Linked DNA regions of Lytechinus pictus. The protein of the gene in region 1 purifies or fractionates together with the protein of each later gene. This does not show direct contact. Links are inferred from orthologs where the notes say so. Each region holds a gene or a part of one and is shown on either strand. Other genes may lie near its edges. The genes, in order: serine/threonine-protein kinase mTOR-like and regulatory-associated protein of mTOR-like.

Evidence for each region.
Region 2: the proteins of serine/threonine-protein kinase mTOR-like (region 1) and regulatory-associated protein of mTOR-like purify together in Drosophila melanogaster (affinity purification with western blotting; 3 studies listed by BioGRID, with this or other methods). This does not show direct contact. The link is inferred for Lytechinus pictus from reciprocal best matches to the Drosophila melanogaster genes mTor and raptor.

Annotation. Positions count from the first base shown.
Region 1 is NC_087258.1:3,792,154-3,800,196, reverse strand, and holds the start of serine/threonine-protein kinase mTOR-like, read left to right. Parts: upstream 1-4,941; 5' UTR 4,942-5,126; coding exon 5,127-5,343; intron 5,344-8,043. UniProt on the Drosophila melanogaster protein: Promotes cell and tissue growth, maintains tissue homeostatis and controls responses to environmental stress and aging. Regulates growth during animal development by coupling growth factor signaling to nutrient availability. Central regulators of autophagy.
Region 2 is NC_087254.1:16,254,118-16,261,441, forward strand, and holds the start of regulatory-associated protein of mTOR-like, read left to right. Parts: upstream 1-4,127; 5' UTR 4,128-4,338; coding exon 4,339-4,476; intron 4,477-7,324.

The DNA.
Region 1 (8,043 bases):
CACTATTTCTTTTGTATTTTATTATATGAAATAGGGAATATTCTATTTTTCTCCTCATTGTCAAGTGAAACAACGATTAATTCCTCCCTGAACATGTGGAATGAGCATTGTTTAAAGGACAAGTCCACCCCAACAAAAACTTGATTTGAATAAAAAGAGAAAAATTCAACAAGCATAACACTGAAAATTTCATCAAAATCGGATGTAAAATAAGAAAGTTATGACATTTCAAAGTTTCGCTTATCTTTAACAAAATAGTTTTATGAACGAGCCAGTTACATCCAAATGGGGGAGTCGATGACATCACTCACTCACTATTTCTTTTGTATTTTATTATATGAAATATGAAATATTTTGATTTTCTTGTCATTGTCATGTGAAATGAAGTTTCATTCCTCCCTGAACACGTGGAATTCCATTATTTTAACATTTTGCATGTGCTTCAGGCAAGGAGGTCCTAATCATCAAATTCGTAAAAATTGAAATATTGTATAATTCAAACAATAAAAAACAAAAGAAATAGTGAGTGAGTGACGTCATCGACTCTCTCATTTGGATGTAACTGGCTCGTTCATATAACTATTTTGTTAAAAATAAGCGAAACTTTGAAATGTCATAACTTTCTTATTTTACATCCGATTTTGATGAAATTTTCAGCATTGTGCTTGTCTGATTTTTCTCTATTGATTCAAATCAACATTTTTCTGAGGTGGACTTGACCTTTAAATATTGTATGATTCAGTCAAGTTGGTCCTCACTGTCAAATCTATACAAAATGAAATATTGTATAATTCAAACAAAAAAAACCCAAAAGAAATAGTGAGTGAGGGACACCATCGTCTGCCTCTTTGAGTTGTGCATTTCACTGTCTTATGACAAATAAGCAAAACTTTAAAATGTCATAACTTTCTTAAAGGAGAATGAAACTCTTGGAGCAAGTTAGCTTTTGTGAAAGCAGTAAAATCAAAGAATAAGATCAACAAAAGTTTGAGTAAAATAGGACTAGCAATAGAAGAGTTATGAGCATTTGAATGTCGAGATCACTAATGCTATGGAGATCCTCCAATTGGCAATGCGACCAAGATCTATGATGTCACAGATGAACAACTCTCCCCTTTTGGACACTGAAAATATACCCCAAAACATCTCTTTTTGCTCGATCATTCTCATCATATGACAAACGATTCATCAATGATATAATGTTGTGAAACCTCTGTACTTGTCCCCGGACTTGTCCTCTCATAAAGAGAACACCTCACCTTGTGATATACTATAAAAGTGAGAATAAGTGAAATAAGTACTAAAGTAATGAGGGAGTTGTACGTGTGTGACATATCACAGATCTTGGTCGCATTGCCAATGGGAAGATCAACATGGCATTAGTGATCTCAATATTCAAATGCTCATAACTTTCTTATTATTCATTCAATCTTCCTCAAACTTTCAACAATATGTTTCTTTGATTTTTCTCTTTGATATGGATTCAGCTGGTTTCAAGGATTTCATTCTCCTTTAATATACATCCGATTTTGATGAAATTTTAAGCGTTTTGCTAGTTTGATTTTTCTCTCTTTAATCAAATCAACATTTTCCAGGGGTGGACTTTACTTTTCACTACACACAACTACTTCACGCAGATGATGATCTCATGGTGAATATCGGGTTGCACAAAAATGCCAATTTTGACATAGCCGGCCTATATAAAAAAATTATACATTTTATTGCACCCCCTCTGACTCATATTTTTAATCTCTCACTCAATACTGGGAAATGTCCAGAGTGCTTAAAAATTGCTAAAGTAAATCCTATTTTTAAGAAAGACAACCCTCATGAAATAAGTAATTATAGACCTAAATCGATTCTCCCTAGTATATCTAAAATCATTGAAAAGATTATTTACAAGAGGCTATACAAGTTTTTGGATACACATAATTTATTAAATTCAAATCAATATGGTTTCAGAAAAAGTCATTCAACTGACCTTGCACTGATTAGATTATATGATAAAATAACAGATTCTATAGCCAATAAAGAACATGTAATAGGGGTATTTATGGATCTATCAAAGGCCTTTGATACGATTGACCACCAAATTTTACTTCAAAAACTTTACTCTTATGGAATTCGTGGTGTTGCTCTTTCCTGGTTTCAAAGCTATTTAACCAATAGAAAACAATATGTTGTATTTAATGATGTTTCTTCAACTTTTCTACCAATCCGATGCGGTGTCCCACAAGGATCGATATTAGGCCCATTACTTTTTTTAATTATATATCAATGACTTAACTAATACAACTTCTCTTCTATCGTTTATATTATTTGCAGATGATACTAACATATTTTACTCATATTATAACCTTAACACCCTAGTTGACACACTAAATAATGAGTTACTGAAATTATCTTTATGGTTTAAATGTAACAAATTGTCTCTGAATATCAACAAAACTAATTTCATGTATTTTAAACACATACAATCTCATATAAATGACGTACATTACAACATATTTATAGATAATGTTCCTCTTGAAAGAAAGCATCAAACGAAGTTTTTGGGTGTCGTCATTGACGAAAATTTAAATTGGAACGAACATATACGCCATATAATAACTTCTATTTCTAGGAATGTTGGTATACTATATAAATTAAAGAAATGTATTCCTTGCAAAACACTTGCGTTGCTTTATAATTCATTGATTTTACCGTATATAACGTATAGCAATTTAGTATGGGCCACAACAAACAAAACAAAAATAAATTCTATTCACTTATTGCAAAAGAAAGCGCTTCGCATTTGTATCGGTTCACAATATTCATCTCACTCCAAACCATTATTTTACCAATTAAAAACTCTGACAGTATTTGACATTAATACACTACAAAGTTTATTGTTCATTTTCAAGTATTTCAATGGGATGCTACCAAATTCATTAAAATTTTTTTATACTTTGAATAAAACCATTCATGATTACCCCACCCGTAATTCCTCTAATTTACATTTAGTCAATCCAAAACTACGTATTGCCCAGAGATCCGTAAGACAAAGATTCATGGTCCTGACCTTTGGAATCCTCTCCCAGACTCAATTAAATCCTCTTGCTCCCTACACTCATTCAAAGCTAAAGTTAAGGTCATGTTACTATCGGAATATGTAAAATAAACTTTCTTGTGTCATAATCATGTTCTAATATTCCGTTTCCATCATCATTAACATTATTTCCACCACCACCACCACCGTCACCACTATCATCATCATCATCATCATCTTCATCTTCTTCATTTGTCATTATCATTATCATTTTTTTTTTTTTACTTGATTATATATATTATAGCAAGTTTTGGCTTGTTAGATTTTGTTCTTCTCTTTTTATATTATACTTAATTGATACTTTAATAATTTGTTATTGTCCATTCTGCTCATAATATAATTATATGGTTAAAATATGTTTCGGTTCATTGTCATATTTTTCAAGCATTTTTTTGCTTACTATGGCAATCCATCTTCTGCTATTAATTTTATGCTAAATGATTTATACCTGATTTATTGTCAATGTACACTCTAAATTACAGGGATTTAAAATTAGTCCACATGGACTGTAGTTAGGGACCAATCGAATTCCGGATTTAATTGAATCCTTCAGATTCCTTTTTTAAATCTCGAAAGATTTAAATTTAATTTGAATTTAAATCATTTGAGATTTAAATTTAAGTCTTTAGGATTAAAACAAAATCCAGAAATCGATTGGTCCCTAACTACAATCCATCTAGACTTATTTTAAATCCCTGTAATTTAGAGTGTATGTTTGTTACATTTATGTTATATTATATTGTTATGTAGAAGAAAAATAAATTCAAATCAAAATAAGTGCCTTTTTTTTGCTTTGCCCCCTAAACGAAAATACGTTCTGCCGCCCCTGGTGCGTAGATTACATAGAAACATATTTTTGTGCAATTCCGGCCGGATAACGATCCCGATCATTTTCAATTAATGAAAAAATTCCAGGTAATTCCGGGTAATCCGAAAATTACAATTAAACTACAATTAAACGTAGTAACTTTGTTTGCCTCATAAGCCACAGTGGGTATCAATAAAAACGGGACAGTTTTGAAAAGTCCATCACTTTGTTTGAAATCATAATGTCTCTATTTTGATGTTCATATGCTCTTAAGTCTTATCTTTCAAATGCCATCAGAAAAATAAGTTTCGTTCATGCTTGAGCAAACATGGAACGTTTTTTGTCAGGGGTTAAAAAATTAAGACTTGCGCCAAAATGGCAGAAAATGAGAAAATATCGATCATCAGACTTCGTGCTAATCAGCAGACTCCTCGATCTTAACCTTTAAATTGTCTTTGTCATAATTATTCTGTCAAAATTCATTTACAAAACTATTGAATTAGGCCTACTTGATTTATCATTATTTTTTTCAAAATATGATGTATTTTAATACTGAAAATTCCTTCATAAAATCGTTAACCTAGGTAAGGGGGTTTGCGTTGTTAATGGGAGAGCTTGCAATTCATTAAAATGATTTCATTTTGTGCTACATGAAAGGTTGTGGTGCCTTTGAAAAACATGAATCCTTTCCTTGTTTTTCTAATGGCACTTGAAAGATAAGATTTAAGAACATCATTTAACATAAAAAATAGACATCATAATTTCAAACAAAATTTTGATAGACTTTTCACTTTTCAGAACTGTCCCGTTTTTAGCTCAAAATTTTGCTCGCGCTCCGCGCGCTCGCATTTTGTAATTTTGTTGCTATTTAAAAAAAAAAAGTTTAATTCCTTGATTTGGACTTTTGGTCACTTACACTTGGACCAAACTTGTGTAGGTTCGCTTTTTTCATGTCCGATTAAAGAAAAAAAGGAAATTCCAGTGTCTATTGAGATTCAGTTTCGGGAAATTTGTTCTATCGGTGATGCGTGTCACAGGTCAAATTGCATTTCCTGTTATTGAAGAGATGATGAGCTGAGGCCGTGGCGAGAGAGAGCCGAGAGAAAAGAGGCGTCAATTATTATAATCTACGACTACGAATTTCTCTTTTCATGGTCATCTTATCTTTTAAAGTTGCAGACATGATATAGCATATTCAGAGTTGGATTGGGTACTTTCAAATCAGTCAAAATGTCACAAATGAATAGTTTGGTCGGCGGATTGAAGAGCAGACACGACGATGTTCGCACCAGGGCAGCGAAAAACCTGCAGCACTACGTGAGCACCGAGCTGCGGGAAGTTTCGGCGGACGAGCGCACTTCGTTTATGGACGATCTCAACCACCACATCTTTGAGTTGGTATCAAGTCAGGACGTGAACGAGAAGAAAGGTGGAATTCTAGCAATTGGTGAGTGCATAGAACGAATAGATTTAAATGTCCTGTAGGTGTGTGTACAGCAAGGCTCCACATTAACTATTTTTGGTGGTGGCCCGTTCGGGCCACCAAAACCATCAAATAATTTTTTTTGGTGGCCCGATATTAAAGTTTGGTGGCCCGAAAAATATAAAGAAAAACATTAAAAATGAATAAAACAAACTTCTGAAATATTAATTCTGCAGCCACTACCACTAAGTTACTTTCACTTTATACATCTTGTATGTAAACCTTGTTTGCTGTTATTTTACTTTGATAATTGTTTCTATCGTTGTAAAAATGAAATGATTGAAAGTGAATAAATGAATTGTATTGTTTGCAGGTTGTGTGGACTTTTTTAACTCTCTGTATAGAGATAATGGTAAAGTAAATAAATAGTGCATAGCAAACTCAGATAGATGTACAAAACAATGGTTTTTCCTTCCTTCCTCTTTGAATCCTAAAACCTAGATTATGCATGCCCCAAATCCAGTTTATTTCTGTTTTCTCTTTTGCAGCATATTATAGAAGGCGAAAATCACAGAAAAATATGCTGCAAAATTAGAATAATGCATAAAAGGGGGAAACAAGCAAAAATAATTTTCAAAAAGTATATAACAAAAAGAAAACAAAAATGATAAAAGAAATTAGTGAAATAAAACAAAAGAAAGAAAATGAAGAAAGAAAAAAACAAAGAACAGGGAAAAAAAGAAAAAAAGAAAAGAAAAAAATCAGATAGAAAAAAGAAAAGAAAATGAAAGAAAAATTAATAAAACAAAGTTAATATAAAAATGGGGAAAAGGGGAAAATTAAGAAGCCATTACATATATTTTTTAACAGCTGTGGCAACAGTCTATTCTGACTGGAATATAATTAAAAGCCAAGCAAATAATTTTCACTTGCCTTTTGGGAATGGCACATTTCTATTTTTATATCCTTTAGTTTGTATTATTTTATTTTCAGTAGAAAAATAATTTTTAATCAGGCATATTCAATAGGAAGGGGTATAAATGGTTTAACCACTGTAAAAAAAAAAGGAAAAAAAAAAAGAAAACGGCAAAAACTATATCTGGAAAAAAAGTGTGAGAAAAGTCCTTCCCTATATTTGCCAAAATGTAGGAAAAAAAATCACATTTCATATCAATGAAATGCCTTCCCAAAGTATTTACTTTCTCAAGAGTGGTTTAAGAAGTCATTTATAACAAGAAAGAAAGAAACTGTCTGTTTGTTTAAGGCTAGAAAATACACAGCTTCGAAAGAAACCAAGTATCAACATACATACAAATGCACACGTGGGACTGTGATGTACTTGCCTATGTGTTTTTATGTGTATTAATTCATGTGGAAATCGGTCTTTTTGAGTCAAAAGAGAGGTCATAATTCCTCTTCTTAATACTTGCAAATAATCAGGGTACGCCAGATTTTCGTAATATAGACTGTAGAATTGCATTTCATTGGTGTAAAAGGTGACTTTGACTGAGATTTTCAAAGTTCTGTGGAAGATTTCTCAGCAGCAACATTTTTTTATCGCAGCTCCCTGAGTCTGAATAGGCTGTGCTAGATCTAGAGCACAGCTGTATGCACAGTGGCGTAGCTACGGGGGGGCCTGGGGGGGCACGTGCCCCCCCTGAGATTTGGTGTGCCCCCCCAGGTGCCCCCCCCTGAAAAAATTGGCAGGGCAAAAAAAAAGGAGAAAGAAGAAAAGAAAAAAGGAAAAAAAGAAGAACGACATAAGAAAAAAAGAGGAGGAAGACGAGTGAATGAAATAATGTGAAGGGAAGACTTGCAAAAAAAAAAATCTTTCATGTTATTATATAAAACTTTTGCTTGCGCTTCGCGCCAGAATTGCCTGTTCGATGAGATTCATATCTTGCTCAATAGGCTGATATGGAGCAAGTTTTGAAGTCAATATACAAAATATATTTTAGCTCGGACATCGAGCTTTCATCAATTTTTTTTCATTAAAAAAATTAAGTGCTCTAGCTGTAAAATGTCCCTTTTATAGTCTACATATCAGTATTTTTAAGCTCACGCTGTGTGGTCAAATTGTTTGATTTGCCAAGTTCCTATTGTCTACGTGTATTCCATAAACAAATGTATTCAGACGGCCCAGATTCTAGGTCTAAATCAAAAACATGCGCGATAGCCTGCATGTTCTTTATATTAAAATTATCCAGTTTCACATCAGAATATCAATAATTGTCTGCTCACGCTTCACGATCGCATTATTAATGATACCCAATTAACTATATCCTATTTATGATTTACAAAATATGAATAGAGTGTCCCGCTTTTAGGTCTAAAATCTAAATTTTCTTCCTCTCGCGCTTCGCGCTCGCATCAATTGTTTAGTTACATACCTATCCCATTTATTAATACAATAAGTGCTTAGAATGACAATTTTTTTAGGTCGGAATGTCAAAAAAATTTGCTCGCGCTTCGCGCTCGCATTATTGAAATATATACCGTCTTCGTGGGTAACTGTAAGCAGTCCTTAACAGGTCCCTTTTCGATAATGCTAGAACAGTTAATAAAATTTTCTGCTCGCGCTTGGCGTTCGCATTTACCATCTAGTTACATACGAATCTTGTTCAGGATCACACATAACATTGCCCAGAATATTAAATTTTCAGGACAAAATACATGAAAGTAAAAAAAAAAAAAAATCGCTCGCACTTAGCGCTCGCTTTTTTT
Region 2 (7,324 bases), on another chromosome or scaffold:
TGCTATCTTTCGGTGAAATCCATTAGGATTTAACAGAATCTGTTTCAAGTTGAAGTGGAATCCAACCGGAAAGGAAAGTTCTTTAAAAAAAAAAAAACCAAGAAAAGCAGGATTGTGAAAGTTTTAATAACAAAAACAATTTGGAGGTTGGAAAGACAGAACATAGGGGATTCCGACTTCATTATATCAGATATAAATAATTGGTAGTCTATTTACATTGATAACGGTCTGACTTCGTCAAATAGAGCGATGTCATTATACAGGGCCACTAGCGTACCTACGGGGGGGGCAGAGGGGGCAGTCTGCCCCCCCTGACGAGCCACAACCCATGCAAAAGACGTATCCCTGCCCCCCTAACGAGCTTGAAGACCTTTATTGGCCCCCCTGACGAGCTTGAAGACCTTTTTTTTTTTTTTTTTTTGCTTGTCAAATTTTTATCTGGTACGAAATCCTTCATTTGTGATTGAAGACATTTTTTTTTTTTTTTTTTTTTTTTTTTTTTGCTTGTCAATTTTTTTTTGTTACGAAATCCTCCATTTGTGATTGAAGACCTTTTTTTTTTTTTTTTTTTTTTTCGCTTGTCAAATTTTTTTCTGGTACGAAATCCTTCATTTGTGATTGAAGACTTTTTTTTTTTTTTTTTTTTTTTGCTTGTCAAATTTTTTGCCCCCCCTGTGAAAAATCCCAGGTACGCCACTGTACAGGGCCCGTTGCATAAAAGTTACTATTACGGTAACTTTGCCATCTAATGGTAACTGCCATGGTAACAATGCTAATCGGCCAATCAGAATCAAGGATGTCGGGGAGTTACTATTGGATTTTGCAACGGTCCCCAGGTGGTCAGAATCAAGTATTTTTGCAATGCTAATGATCCACTAATCCTAATGGTTTCCATGAAAAATCCCTCTTTACCAATCCCAGTTTCCCCTTTTGGGTAAAGGTGGAGTTGGGAAATGTTTCTAAATTCCTCTCCATGCAAATAATGAAGCAGACTGGGGTTATCCGAGATACCATGCTAGTTGAGGCAGTGAGATGGATAAAAAGCTTGTGAGTGAAAGAACAATTGGATGATGTTTAGAATTGGTTGATGAAAATGGCAGAAGGGGTTATCAGAAATTTGTGCAACTTGAGGTAGTGAGACTGAGATACTGCACATTAGAAAATGAATGAAAAAAAGATGGTGTGTGATTTTAGTATTATGCAGTGTTCAGACTCCAGGGGAGCATTTCATCACCATTTTCGTCCCGACAAGTGGTCAAATCTGACAACTTTCCTTGATTTTGATTGGCTGAGAAGCACTGTTACTGTGGTAACTGTCGGATATAACCCGGCTTGTCAGATAAATTGTCCGAGTCCTTTTATGATATGCTCCCCAGAAGTTGAAGGTCTGGTTTATCAGAGATACATGCGAGTTGAGGTAGATGAAGATCAAGAAGGAATGAAGAGGACGACGTGGGCATTGCCGTGTTGTACAGTGTTTTCAGAAGTGAACGAAAGTGGCTTATGTTATGTATTGCACCAAGTATGCATGGCTGTCTTGATAAACTAATGAACCTGATTATTTCCTTTTAATTTAGTTTGCCACTAGCTCGTGGAATGTCAGTCTTGCCAAGTCTGAATACATGCCTTCAGACTTGGCCAGATTTGACCTGACAGTAATAAAACAATATACATCCAGTTTTTTTTTTTTAATTAAGTTTAATATGAATTTGTGTACCACTATGAAATAAAAAAAGAGCCAATAGGTATTAACAGTAATGGGTTATGAGAAGTGGGTGTGGAGGGGGGGGGGGGGGATGTCACAAAAGGTATCATCCAAGATGGTCTTATCCCATTTTGTCTAATAACTTTCAGGTCTAATTACGACTACCGACGTTTTCCATAGCCTTGATTCCCATTTAGTCTGTATTGATGAACTACATGTATTTGTGAACTAAATTTTCATTTTACGAAGTAAAACAAGTGGAAATTAGACAGACTGGGTATTAGATTAAAGGAGAATTGGATTAAGTGGGCATTAGATCAAGCAATTACATCAAATTTGACCACACAAAAAAGATAATCTAAATTTAGAGAACAATTATTCAAGGATATATTATACATATGAATTTTCCTGTGCATTGAAAGAGCAGCACCTCTTTATAAATACATGCATCCCTGATGCCATACTGATTAAGTGATTTAGGTATTAACCAATACATGTATTCATTCAATAAAACATTCAATAGAGTACTTTACACAGGACAAAGAAAATTGGTAAATAGGAAATATATCGAGAGAGATAATGTACATATTCACATTGTATTGAATATAGAAATGAGGGCACATCCCATTATAAATTCTAATCAAACTTGAATCATGGTCCTTGGGCCATCCTGACACGCCTCTTTGTGATGAAATGGGGACAGTTATCCCCGCCTCCCCCCGGGGGCCCCACCCTCGCAAAAAAGGGGTTCATTGCCCTGCCTTAGCCAATTAGACTAGTAATTGGATATAATTGTAAAGCCACAGGTCAACCCCATTAAGGGTCATTTATTAAAGGAGAATGAAACCCTTGAAACCAGCTGAATCCATATCAAAGAGAAAAATTAAAGAAACATTGTTGAAAGTTTGAGGAAGATTGAATGAATAATAAGAAAGTTATGAGCATTTGAATATTGAGATCACTAATGCCATGTAGATCCTTCAATTGGCAATGCGACCAAGATCTGTGATGTCACACACGTACAACTCCCTCATTACTTTAGTACTTATTTCACTTATATTCTCACTTTTATAGAGTCTATCACAAGGTGAGGTGTTCTCTTTCTGAGAGGACAAGTACAGAGGTTTCACAACATTATATCATTGATGAATCGTTTGTCATAATGATTAGAATGAGCAAAAAGAGATGTTTTGGGGTATATTTTCAGTGTCCAAAAAGGGGAGAGTTGTTCATCTGTGACATCATAGATCTTGGTCGCATTGCCAATGGGAGGATCTCCATAGCATTAGTGATCTCGACATTCAAATGCTCATAACTCTTCTATTGCTAGTCCTATTTTACTCAAACTTTTGTTGATCTTATTCTTTGATTTTTCTGCTTTCACAAAAGCTAACTTGCTCCAAGAGTTTCATTCTCCTTTAAGGCTGAAAAGCGTGGTATGTTGTAATTGATAAAAACGTATCTGTCACCCTGACAAAAAGTTTATTGTAAAAATAGAAGAAAAAAAAATGAAAATATTGCTGAAGGTCTGAGAAAAATCTACTAGAATCTTAATTTGTCTGAGAAAAATCTACTAGAATTTTAATATGTGACGTCATATGCGAGCAGCTTTCCTACATATCGTATTGTAAAAAATCAATGAAATGTCATTTTCTTAGAATATTGAAAATGTTCTTTTTACTGCACCTTCAGGTATACTAGACAAATCATTTCACGCCTGTTCCTAAAAGGAACTGAACAGAAGTCATCACGAACCATCAGTGGCGTACCTAGGATTTTTCACAGGGGGGGCAAAACCGTCCGCCAAAAAATTTGACAAGCAAAAAAAAAAAAAAAAAAAAAAAAGGTCTTCAAGCTCGTCAGGGGGGGGGGGGGGCAAAAAAGGTCTTTCAAGCTCGTCAGGGGGGGCAGGGATACGTCCTTTGCATGGGTTGTGGCTCGTCAGGGGGGGGGCAGACTGCCCCCTCTGCCCCCCCCTGTAGGTACGCTAGTGCGAACCATGAAAAAAATGAAATTCATGCATTTTATATTACATAAGATATGGGGCAGCTGCTCGTTTATCATGGGCCGCGGAACGGTTTTCAAAGTGGGAGGCTGAGCCAAAAGTGGGGGGGGGGGGGGGGCTGACCATGCAAAAAATCACAATCATATGGTAATTTTTACTTTTTTTGTATATGGTTTTGGAAAAAAGTGGGGGGGGGGCTGAAGCCCCCGCGGCCCCTGTTTATGACGTCACATATCCAAAACTGAAAATTCTCATAACTTTCTTAATCTTTAATGAATTTTCCTCAATCCATCACCAATATTTTTCATTATTTTACAGGTGCACGAGTAACGTTAACCTCCCCGCCCCCTTTTTTATAATTTTTTACGGTAATTCCCATAATATCGACCGGGCGTAAACGTGACGTCATTCGTAAATACACGCTGGATGAATGAAAGAAAATGGCGACACATGTTTCTCCACAATAGTTGTCGGTAGATCATAAAACTCCCTTCTAAAACCACTTTATTAAAGTTTTGCCACGTATTCTGTCTGATCACAAGAAAGTATTTACAACGTTTCATCACATTTTGACGTTCATATCTTCTTTGAGGCTTCTACTTTCGCAAGAACAACTAAAACATCGAAAATGTACGAGGACATCACTGAATCTGAGGAGAGCGATCTGTGTGATTGGCAGTTACCGCTTGCATACATGAAGAAACGGCACACTGACCCGATTGAAGGAAGCAAAACAGAAACACAAACATGGCGAATGAAAGAACGGGTATTTCCATTTTCTTTTTCTGTAGATCTACTAACTTAAATTTCCTGTGTTGATGCACATATCTGCTTTAATTCAATGACATAAAGTAGAAATGGTTATCTATTTTATGAAGGCAGCTAAATAAAAAAAAAAAATTATAAACACTTCATCAAAATCAAATCATGATTTTCGTGAATTTCTCTGTTTCTGGGATCATAATCAAGATAAGAGAATACTGACATTTTGTATTATTCCCAATTTATATTGAATAAAGTGACAAATTTCAGTTATGGTATTGATGAAATAATTCCCCTGAACAGAATTGCAGATGCAGTTTTTAAAATAACTAAGTTATTAATCTAGTCGGTCTAACGTTAAGTTGAACTTACTTACTGTCAAACGTTAGGGGTATTAGACTGATCAGAATTAATCAGCATGATCAGATCATAAATATAATGACTTTTACGTACTGATGAAATAAAGTTATTGAAAAAATACAAAAAGCATGCATCTCAATCCTCAGTAAACGTTTTAGACAATTTTCCAGAAATTCCAGGTCAAGGGGTCTATGCCTAGATCGATAGATCTAGGCCTAATATAGTACCGTATCTAATGTTGGGGGAAATTTTCTAAAACTATTAAAAAGTGAATTTTGAGTAACAGATTTTTTAAGGCAATCAAACACAGGTATGACTAGAAAAAATGCATAAAAACGTTGCTTTCCAGGCCTGGTTCAGATTGATGTGTTAAGTGTTTCATAAATTATGAAAAAGATCTGTTTTTGACTGACAAAAAGAGGAAAAGGGTTGACCCTCTAATTTTCTGGAGGTAATTCACTTGCCAGCATAGAGACAATCTGGATTTCCTGCTATTGGCATGTTTTTTATCAGCTTGGCTGCAGTTCTCTGCACTTTCCAAATCATTTGGTTTAAGAGTTAAAAGCTTGCTGGCCTTTTAATATGTATTTTGATATTTTTGGGACTTTTCCATCTGGTTATCATACATTTTTATGTTACAAAATGCAAATCATCCAAGGCCAATAAAGGGGGGGGGGATCCAAGGCATTGAAGGCCTTTGATGATAAAGCAGGGGCCTGTTTCATAAAGGACTTGCAACTGTTGTAACTTTGCCATAATGGCAACTGCCATGGCAACAGGCCTCAGCAGGCTTTATGAAATGGGCCCCAGGCCTCAACCCCGCCTCAACATTAGCAGTGGCCCAGTGTTTTTCTATTGTCTTAGGGCCACCAAATATGCATGAAATTAATGATTTTGGTGGACTGACCTGGGGGCCGTTTTATAAAGCTGTTCGTAAGATAAGAACGACTGGTGATCCTTTCTTTCGCGCTAAACCATGCCCTATGGTGTATACCATTTACCAAAAGAAAGGATCACCAGTCCTTCTTGTAGTCGTTCTTATCTTACGAACAGCCTTATGAAACACCCACCAGGCCACCAAGAAAAAAAGTTGTGTGGAGCCTTGTGTATATGAATGTAAAATTCACTCCTGTAGGAAGTATGTGACTGAGAAGGTACCATTTATGATGCATTTAGTGATGGTAACCTTTGGTTGTGTACATTTAAATGTATGTGTACAGCAATCTACAAATGTACATGTACACTGTAGACCTACTGAACATGTGGTTAATTCCCCCCCCCCTTTATAATGTAATTTTTACTGCTCATCATATGTAATAATTGTCAAGGTGGGTTCAGAATTTCATTTTTTATGAAATTGAACTTCCAAAGTATTAATTATACTCTGTGTTTAATTGTGTGAAAAACTTATATAGTTCACAGAATGAATATGTATTCAAAGATGAACTGTATGAATCTAGGAAACAATACTTTTAAGAAGTTTTGTCCTTATGACCTGGTTTTACCCACAAAAAGAACCCTTTGATGATTTACTTTAAACACACACACAAAAGCACTTGCAGTTAGATAGAGAAGATATTTGAGCGGGGGTCCACAAAAGTGTTAAATCAGAACTTGAAATACTAGATATGGGAGATAATTATTGGGCTCAGAAATCATCATCCGTACTTTAATCATTTGAAGACACTTTAGAATTTTAGTTGATAAGAAATTCAAATTGATATTTGGAGCAAGCAATTATAAGTTCAAAGTTCTCAAAACAAGTCATCGATGTTGCCATTGTAGTCATTTAGAAAATTTGTTTCACGTGCATGCACATGTGCCATAATGTAATTTCAAAATGTTTTCAGAGCAAAGATGCAAAGAAATGAGCCCCCATAAATCCCATTATGTTCAGTACAATCTACCTTACAGTGTTACACTGAATGTGCAATACATCTGCAATGTAGAAAAAACGAGCCCTCTCCCCCACATTTCCACCAGTGTTTAAAAATCTCCCCTCCCCTTCCTTTAGTTGAAATCCAGCTTATCTTTGAAATAGAGGGAGCCAAACTATGGTTATTTTTCAAAATGAAGATTGAATATTTCTTGAATAATTTTAAACCAATGAAAGGCTGTACAATACTGTTTGTTTTTTCATGATGTGTCTAGAGGAGGATTGCAATAATGCTTACGGTAAATTTTACTGTAGTGTAAATTGATCTCAAGGTTTGTGGGGGGGGGTGACATTTGAACCAAACCATATCACTAATTAATCTTTGTGGTATGTCATTATATTGCGCCCCCCCCCCTCTTTACCCATTAATAAACCCTGATACATTTATGTAAATCTTTAAAATGAATTATGAACTGATTATGCAAAAGTGTGAAGGGAGGGAATTATATCTTAACAAACAGAAAAAAAAAGAGCTTCGGTAGTTCGATATCGTGAATTTAGTGAAAGAATATCTCCGTGCATGTCAACCTTATGTATTACTTGTGGGGGAAAAAAC